Nothobranchius furzeri: one gene and its partner. Each later gene encodes a partner of the first gene's protein in a complex. Links are inferred from orthologs where the notes say so. Each region holds a gene or a part of one and is shown in the gene's direction. Other genes may lie near its edges.

The links.
Region 2: the proteins of thoc2 (region 1) and thoc1 are in contact, whole or in part, in a cryo-EM structure (PDB 7ZNL), measured with the Homo sapiens proteins. The link is inferred for Nothobranchius furzeri from reciprocal best matches to the Homo sapiens genes THOC2 and THOC1. Residues at the interface, in NP_001075019.1 of Homo sapiens: Leu155, Phe156, Tyr157, Lys158, Gln160, Asn163, Leu164, Leu165, Arg166, Asn169, Glu170, Ala173, Lys174, Ile176, Ala177, Gly180, Gln181, Asn195, Lys197, Ser198, Leu199, Ile200, Gly201, Cys202, Phe203, Asn204, Leu205, Pro207, Asn208, Arg209; in NP_005122.2 of Homo sapiens: Asn134, Arg138, Asn141, Leu144, Arg145, Lys149, Thr153, Cys156, Gly157, Gln160, Leu161, Ala164, Arg165, Phe167, Gln242, Phe245, Arg246, Tyr297, Ala299, Lys300, Phe301, Arg319, His320, Leu323, Gln324, Ile327, Tyr331, Arg373, Phe374, Lys376.

Annotation. Positions count from the first base shown.
Region 1 is NC_091750.1:48,346,544-48,351,123, forward strand, and holds the start of thoc2 (THO complex subunit 2), read left to right. Parts: upstream 1-1,620; 5' UTR 1,621-1,688; coding exon 1,689-1,753; intron 1,754-3,454; coding exon 3,455-3,510; intron 3,511-4,580. UniProt on the Homo sapiens protein: Component of the THO subcomplex of the TREX complex which is thought to couple mRNA transcription, processing and nuclear export, and which specifically associates with spliced mRNA and not with unspliced pre-mRNA.
Region 2 is NC_091751.1:49,147,697-49,152,303, reverse strand, and holds the start of thoc1 (THO complex subunit 1), read left to right. Parts: upstream 1-1,546; 5' UTR 1,547-1,595; coding exon 1,596-1,643; intron 1,644-2,296; coding exon 2,297-2,370; intron 2,371-2,449; coding exon 2,450-2,510; intron 2,511-2,580; coding exon 2,581-2,650; intron 2,651-2,805; coding exon 2,806-2,924; intron 2,925-3,024; coding exon 3,025-3,073; intron 3,074-3,162; coding exon 3,163-3,258; intron 3,259-3,367; coding exon 3,368-3,450; intron 3,451-3,536; coding exon 3,537-3,610; intron 3,611-3,684; coding exon 3,685-3,793; intron 3,794-3,902; coding exon 3,903-4,037; intron 4,038-4,178; coding exon 4,179-4,279; intron 4,280-4,361; coding exon 4,362-4,428; intron 4,429-4,607. UniProt on the Homo sapiens protein: Component of the THO subcomplex of the TREX complex which is thought to couple mRNA transcription, processing and nuclear export, and which specifically associates with spliced mRNA and not with unspliced pre-mRNA.

The DNA of each region.
Region 1 (4,580 bases):
AATGGTTTCTAAGCATATTATTTCACATAGATACTGAAATAATCCTTTTTAATGAAAACGGAATGGTGTTACTACAGATGCGGTCATCTGTTTTTATTTTCTTCTATTATTAATGGGTGCAAAGGTAATGCATTACTCAAATAGAGTCACATGACTAATCAGTGTGCATCTAAAAATATTTTATTGTTGGAAGCATTTACAATGCCATACATAAAACTCTGTCTCTAGTATATTGCTCTTTGTATATTAAAATAGTAACACAACCATACCATGTTCACATTTTTATTTAAAAAAAATGGTTTGAAAATGGTTAATTAAGTTGTTTTTTCAGTTTTGCATAGGATTTATATGAAAATGTTTCCCCACTGATTCATGTTCGATTCCAAACTCATTTGGTTATCTGTGTCTCAGAATTGTTCATTATAAAATATTAAGCGTGTAATATATTATGAATGGGTGATTATTTTATAAGTTGAGTAAAAAGCTGAATGTTACCTTAACATTAACCCACTAATTTGAAAGTATGCATCCACTGTAGCTTGTTTTTGTTGGATTGTTGTAATTTTTATTAGAATTTCTTTTGTGTACTGCCTTAGTTGGCTAATAATTCAGACTATAGAAGGTGATGTTCATGTTGTAGCTATAACAGAACCCTAATTTTCTCCAAATGTCACTGTAAAGAAAATCCCAACATGGTCATAAACGTTACTACAGTACTGTAAAGTATTCTTGTACGGCAAATTAGACTAATTATGCATCTTAGATGCCTGCAAATGTTTACTCAAGTCACTTTGGATCTTTGTTTTCACCAAACTGCTGAAAACGTGCATACATCTGTGTTTATACATATTTTAAAATTTTTTTGTGTTTCTCTTCTATTTACAAAGTGCCCATTGCATCCTTGAAGATTTGTATTTATGTCTGAAGATGTAACATAACCAAATAAACCCTCTGAAGCTTGTGACTTTGACAGGTAGAAAAATGTTGTCATTTAAAAACACACTTTCACATCTTGTAAAATGCCAAATGCTAGTAACACATTCATTTTCCCCTCTTGCTTGCAGAAGTAGTAGTTTTTGTAGAAAACGCTTCAAATTGACCTTTTTAAACTTTAAGCATAAAACAATAATGACTGGCAATAGTAAACCATTTAGGAAACTCGTGTGGACACAGCTCTGAACAATCCCAACGAGTAGCACCGAGCTAGCAACAGCGGCAGCTAACATCACATTTGAACCTGTGTGCCATCACAACGATGAACCACACTTTAGGTGTTGTGCCGAAAAAAGCACCCCTGCTGTAGAAAGCATGGCCGTAGCAAGAAACGTAGAAAACCACTTCATTCACTAACTTTACTTGAGGTCAGCAGTGATGAACTGGCTCCTGGTTTTCACTGCTGTTATGAAAAACATTTTTATTTTGAAAATAACTGCGATATACACGTAAAAGAGTGTTTCGTGGTAGTTATTTTTCTGACCAGGAGATTTTAAAGCCTTTTATAAAAATAGCAAAATAAATAACGTAAGTTAACTGTTCTGTTAATCGCAGAAAAACAACACTAACCCGTTTGTGACTTCTTATAAATGTATTTGTGATTGAAACTGATTGTGATGTTTTTCCCTTGTTTGGGTCCTTTTCACGATACGGGTGAATTTTTTTGGCACAACACCAGGCAGAGTATATTGAAGATGGCGTCTTTTACCCTCCCTGGTGAATGGATCAAAAACTGGGAAAAATTGGGAAAACACGAGTTGTAAGTAGATTTTATGTTGTGCTTAGTTTGTTTAGGGGTTGCAGCAACATAAAAACAATAAGCTTACTTTAAAATCATGGCTAGCACAAAGTAACGTTAGCGAACAGCTCAAGAGGCTTATCACTGTCGAGTAAACAAAAATAAAAAATGTTACTAGGCGTGTAATTAGTCAAACGCATATTACAAAATTCGTAACATTTAACATTAACTGGCTTGTTATTATCTATCTACATATTAATGGTCTGGCTAGATTTGTAAACACGGTGGCTATCGAAGCTAAGCTAGTAAAAAATCTATCTGTTATTTGGATCTTTTTCAGCTACAAACTTGATAAAACTTCGTATTAACGCTCAGGTACCATGCAATAGCAAACCCACGAGTGGTTTGAAAACAATAAAATAGTTTTATGTTTTATAACTTTGACCCAATCATGTGGAGGGAAACAACGGATCGTAACAGCTAGTTAGCCGTAATGTTAGCCGCAGATTTTTTTTGGGTGAAGCGACGTGTTAAATGTTCTGTATTTGGACTGGACGTGGGAATGAAAAGATGCAATGTTTGATGATCGGATTTTATCAAACTTTGTATTTCTGATCGATTAAACGTCTGCGTTAGCGTCGGAGACTGAGTAAAGACCAGGCCAACATCTGGGCCTCAATAATAAAGTTTGACCTGTGATATTACCTAAAAAAAAACCGTGAATAGTGTTTGAATGTGTTTTATTAAGCAGAAGCATTAAGCATATCCAGTCACACCGTAAGCTGATCCACACATTCCTGGCTGCTAGTTACTATAGGCCTTGCATCGAGACAGGCCTAGAAGCACTAGACCTACCAAACTACTATGATGGTTGTGTCTGTCAAAGTCAAAGTCAGTTTTATTGTCAATTCTACCACATGTGCAAGACTTACAGAGAAATTAAATTGAGTTATACAGAGAAATGAAATTGAGTAGCTTCTGGTTAATAATATATAGTTAAGGCGATTGAATAAAACAGATTGATATTAATTTGGTCAGATGTAATATCACATTGTTCTGGTGATCATCTGTAAGACAAGACCAACATTTTTGGACTCAAGCAAAACTGGTTTAAAGGAACCAAAGAATCAACAAGCTGGCATAGAAACTACATATCACTAAGTTACTTTGTTTTGTTTTGTTAAATGTATTATAATGGAGACTTTATTTTGTTCAGTCATTCTTCACCCAGTGTAATAGTGTTTGCTATGATTCATTTTGAAATAAAACATCACATTTATCTTTGTTAAAAGTGTTTGAAAGAAAAATACAATTACCCACTCACCAATTTATATGGAAAGCTGATATTTGACTTGTTATTACAACATTTAAAAATGCTTTCACATCAAGTTACAGTCAATCTAGAGCAACATCAAATAACTACATAAGAAACCTCTGTGTACACAGGTTTATACTGCTTAGCTGAATTACACATATGCCCAAAACCTAAGCACTTCTATTTTTCATTCACCTTTCTTGACTGAATATATATTATTAGAGGTTGGCGGTGTATTAAAGGCAGAAACTAAAGGATTTTTTGTTATATTAAACAGATCTCTGTGTGTTTGTGTAGTCTTCCTTTTTAGAAGTTTATTTATTAGGCTGCAAAACAGCTTTTTATTGCCATATATAAGGTAACAGACATAGTAACTATATTTTTGTCTCTTTTTTTTTACTTTGTAGTGTACAACTCTGCAAAAAGCTCACAGAGAAAAGTGAACATGGAAGTGAAATCAAAGGTAAGCAGAGCTTGATTTTTGTGTGAAAACGTAGAAACATTACGTAGAACCAACACACCACTTCATAGACAAGCTGTGGTAAAAGTTTCCCTCTTATAAACCAACATAACTAAAAATTAAAATTTATTTTGACACCCTTCTTCCCAGGGGTAGGCACTTTGTAACAGTTTTTACTTAGCTGCTTGGTGTTCATTCCAATGACTTAAAAAAAAAGAATTAACCATCTGTGATGTCACCTATATTTTTCTTAAGGGCTTGTTTGAAACAAAATGGGCAGTTCCCACACTGCCATCTTGGCCGTTTAACTTGTTTTGTCACCACCACCAAATGCAAAAAAAAAAAAAAAAACATGGGCAAAGAGCTGGAGCTGAGTGTGTAGCTGTGAGGGTGGGAGCAAATAATTGACACCCATCAATCTCTGAACCGATATAGCTATGAGCTAACTGAGCTAACATGAAGCTAGGAGTTAACCGTTGACTGTTAAAATTAGGGTTGTCACGGTATGAAAATTTAACCTCACGGTTATTGTGACCAAAATTATCACGGTTTTTGGTATTATCGCGGTATTTTTTAAACGGTGTTGCATATGTTCAGAAAGCATTGATAGTCCTGTTCTACACAAACTGAAATAGTTCTGAAAAGGTTTAACAGTGTTTATTAAACCTAAAATAACACAAAGCCTTAGCAAAAGTGCAACTTTTCACAAGTAAAGAACAAATAGCTTATTTTTCTGGAACATGTTACAGTAGTCAGTGCAGGTTTAAATTATACAAATCCAAACATTCGAAACATAAACAATATGTCAACAAATCAAATAAACACCACTTGTTTTCTCATATACTTGTTTTCTTCATTATCAAAATGAAAATCTAAAACTCCAGTCCACACTTGACTTGAGCACTGTACAAGTCAACCTTAAAAAAAATATGTATTTAAAATAAATAGCAACTTTAAACAAATTACTAAAATAACTACTACACTATGTAATCAAATCCAAATGTTCAAGTATAAATGGCATTGAATAAGTAAACAAATCAATGACAAGGAACTAATTGTATATTTCTCTTCAT
Region 2 (4,607 bases), on another chromosome or scaffold:
CAGCGGGATGAGCGTGCCTCGCAAACATGGAACTAAGCCTCAGCATGCAACCTAAATATATTTGTTCATTTTACTTTTTGGTGCAATTGGAGGTATATTTTTGAAAACTCGTTGCATAAAAGCTGAACAAATTATCTAGGGAAGTTTAATTGAACAAAATAAATAAATTATTTAATTAATTAATTAAATCACCCATTTTAGGTAGAATGTAGAAGATTTCTCAATCTTCTTGCCCTAATCACAACCTCAAACCACGCACAAATCACTTTTAAGAGTGCCTCCCAGCACAATCTCCAAGTTTCTCATCGTGCTTACTCCCTTTCTGCTCTTCATCAGTTTTTGGCAACAATCTGATGAACTCTGAGTAAGATAAGGGATGGGAGAAAATAGGTATTAGTAAATCACTCCTCACTTCCCTTTTTCATGAACACTACAACCACACACGTGAAGGAAATAGAGCCTCTCCTGCTTCCATGTGACACTAAACGCCTCCACTTCACAAAGTCATTGTTCTTCTCTTAACATCAGCACAGCCACCAAAACACTGTCACAAAAAGGTTACAAACACCCATCAAAAGGAGCTGAAAAGGATCATCCTTGTATGTAAATCCTAGAGGTCTTGACCTGGATCAAAACAAGCTTCAGTGTTCTCACATGGGTTGAGTAAATCTTTAGTTTAATGATTGTTGTCTCAGGGTAATGGAGCGGTTATTCTAATGTCAAATCGGACATTGTTAGACAAGCAGATGGTATCAAAGGATTCAAGGCCTGCAGCACATAGCTGAATGTTCATTTGCATGATTAGAACATGTGGAAGTGCACACCAAGACAGGCACACATGCAAAACAAACACATTACAACTGCTGTGCATTGTGACCTGTCAAAGTCAAATATTTATTAACAAGAAAGGACAAAAATTATTTCGCTCTTTCCGTTAAAATAAATATAACTTTGAAATGCATACAATATAAACAGAGTGACGTTATTTTACAAGTATTCAATGGCTGACACAACTTATTATTATTATTATTATTATTGTTGTTGTTGTTGTTGTTGTAATTATTATTATAAAGAAAGTTTGGAACATGACTCTTTAAAATAAAAATCAAGTGTAAGATTTTTTTAAGTGAGTCCTGGCCAAAAGGCAAACTAAACCATACAGTGGGGAAATTAGGATTAAAATAAATATTAATACTGTTATTTTCAGGAAGTAGAAATACTAATTTTAACTCACCATTTGAAGAAGGTTTCCATGCATCCATCACTTACAGCCACTCAGAGTTTGATGAATGTAAGCAAATTAAAAAATAATGAAAAACTTTAACAGCAACAATGGTGTACAACACTGCCATCGTGTGGTCAAGATTGCTATGCTACGGTTTATTTCCATTTTTCATCCAAAATGGAAATAAAAATGTGACTGACTGAACTATTTGAAACTAAATTAAAAAATACAAAGTTAGTTTTATCCTAACTCCGTTTATAGATAATATGTATTAATGTATAATTTTGTCAGATAATTCCCTTTACGTACAAAAACGCCACTTCATAACCGGAAGTGATTCGTTGGCGGTTCCGGTTTCAGAAGCGTAAAGATGTCTCTGTCCTCATTTAATTTTGTCGACGCTAAAGAGAAATTTTCGGTGAGAAGTGGCTTCTTTCTGTCATTTCCATCCATAATATATTTGTATGTAAGACAACTTGTTGATAAAACCGTAAAAAATCTTAACTTCACTACTTTATGGTTGTGCTTGTTGTACTAGTGTAGTAGTTAGCCAAAGAAGCTAAGCTAAAGTAAACGCTTCTGAACGGTCCTGTTGTTTACGAGGTTGAAGTTAGCTTCCGATTTGGAAATTGGCTAAAGAGCATTTGCACTCAATTTTATTTACTATGACCATCTTTAATCTGCTCTATTTAAAAAAACTACAATGCCTAGACAGTTCAAACCGGGACTGGAATATTCTAGACTAATAGCAGATTCCATAAAGCATAGTTTGTGATTTGTGAAACCTTTTTCAGATTTGTGAAACTTAAAATAGGCAGATTTTGAAGTTTCACAAATCACAAACTGTTTTATGGAATTTGCTATTAGTCTAGAATAATCCCGTCCAGGTTTGAACTGTCTAGGTATTGTAGTTTTTAAGATGAAGCAGATTAAAGATGGTCACCGTATATAAAAATTGAGAGTGGCCTTGGCCTTAGCCATTTCCCGAATCGGAAGCTTGAAAACGGAAGCAAACTTCTGCATCGTCTTTTGTTTCTCATTATGTCCTTTCCCATGCTCACCCAACCGTAGGCTGCAAGCACACAAGCACTAGCTGGTAAAACCTGCAAACCCCTAATCGCCGTGTTTAACCAACTCCCCGGCAAGTAAGTTGTGCTCCTGGGTCGAGGTTCCAGATCAAAATAATCCAGAAATACAAATTTACTACTTGTGTGTTTTTGTCAGTGAGACGGAAAAGAAGACCACACTGGATCAGGCTTTGAGGAGTGTTCTTGGTGACCAGATTGTAAGTTTAATAAGTTAGTTAATTTAAATTTGAAAATATGTGAGAATCGCTAATGATTGTTTCTCTCTAGCTTGAGCAGAAATCATGCTGTGATGACTATCTGTCTCTAATCTACCAGAGCATCAATGCTGTTACTGAGGGTATGTTATCACTACTGCTGAGGTGGATATTTATTTTAGATTAGATGATTTTGGATTTTAAACATACATGTTGAAAGGATCGCTTTGATATAAGTTTTGGTAAAACGTCTCTTAAAACAAATGACAGTGTAACATTTATTCTGTTTTTAATGCAGGTATCTGTTCTGCTACGACTCCTTTTGTCCTGCTGGGAGACGTTCTGGATTGCCTTCCCCTTGACTTGTGTGACAAAATATTCTCTTTTGTTGAAGAAAATGTCTCTACCTGGAAATCGGTATAATTACAGGCATTTTTTTTTGTAAAGGCAACAAAAATATTTCTCTGTTTTTGTTAGAAGGTTTCATTATTGTACCTGTGTTGTTTCTTTCTTCCAGAGCTCTTTTTACACAGCAGGAAAGAACTATTTGTTGAGAATGTGTAACGGTAAAAATCTTGTCTTTTTCTCTGTCATCCAAAAGACTTTCTATTCTCAGAAAGTTCAGGTGCAAGTGACTTTTGTTTCATCTGTACAGATCTTTTAAGGAGGCTGTCGAAATCCCAGAATACAGTATTCTGTGGGAGAATCCAGCTTTTCCTGGCACGTCTCTTTCCTCTGTCTGAAAAATCCGGTAAGAAAGTCAGTTATTTTTCTAACTTGAAGGGGAAAAAAATCAAAGCACTTTACAATCATATTGTAAACCTCTCAATTAAATAGATTTTGTGTGTGTTTTAATCCAGGTCTCAATCTACAAAGCCAGTTTAATCTGGACAACATAACCGTGTTCAATAAAAATGAACAAGAAAGCACTCTTGGTCAGAAGGTGAAGTATTGTTAGGTTAATTATTAGGTTAATGAGCTCATCCTTTCCATCCTGTTTCATCTGTTTTTTTGCTACTATGTTGACAGCACGCTGATGAAAAGGAAGACGGCATGGAAGTGGAGGAAGGAGAAATGGGGGAGGATGACGCCCCGGCACCGTGGTGAATGAAAACCATTTGCTGTATTTGCTCACATTTTCACCTTCATGAAATAATAGTACCCTTTTGTTCCTTAGTTCTATTCCGATTGACTACAACCTGTACAGAAAGTTCTGGACATTGCAGGACTACTTTAGAAATCCGTTGCAGTGCTATGAAAAAATCTCATGGATTACTTTTGTTAAGGTAATCCACCTCGGTGCAGCAACTCTGACCAATTTGACGGATCACTGTCAATATCCAAGATGAGGATAAAAAAATAAATAAACTTGTGTGTTGCTTTTGCTTTGCTCAGTACTCCGATGAGACTCTTGCTGTGTTCAAAAGCTACAAACTGGATGACATGCAGGCGTCAAAGAGGAAGTTGGAGGAGCTGCGAGCGTCTGATGGTGAACAGGTTTACTTTGCCAAGTTTCTCACGAGCGAAAAGGTGCAGAAAAATCATTAAAAATCTTTTAATCATGTATAAATAAGCAGTTTTTAACTGACTATGGCTGTAAGTCATATGTTTTTCTGTCTTAAAAGTTAAACTTCATTGTTTTGGGATTTTTTTTTTTTTTGTAATCTGCAGCTGATGGACTTGCAGCTCAGCGACAGCAACTTCCGGAGACACATACTGGTGCAGTACCTGATCCTGTTCCAGTACTTGAAGGGTCAGGTCAAATTCAAAAGGTGAACATTTGTGCAACTAAACAAATATCACTTGTTGGGATGGAATTAGTTCATGTTTATGCTTTTTGATTTCTTGACACAGCTCAAGCTGTGCTCTGAATGATGACCAGACTACATGGATTGAGGAGACGACTAAGCTGGTGTTTCAGGTCAGTTCAGACACGTAGGACCAGAAATCAGGAGAAAACGTGTCTGTTGCGAAAAAAATCTGTCCGTTCTTCTTCTGAGGTTTTGTGACAATTTCCATTTACATCACAGTTTTTTTATACCTCATAAAACTATTATTCTTATTAACACTGTGAACCACTGAGAGAACAACTTGTAACTT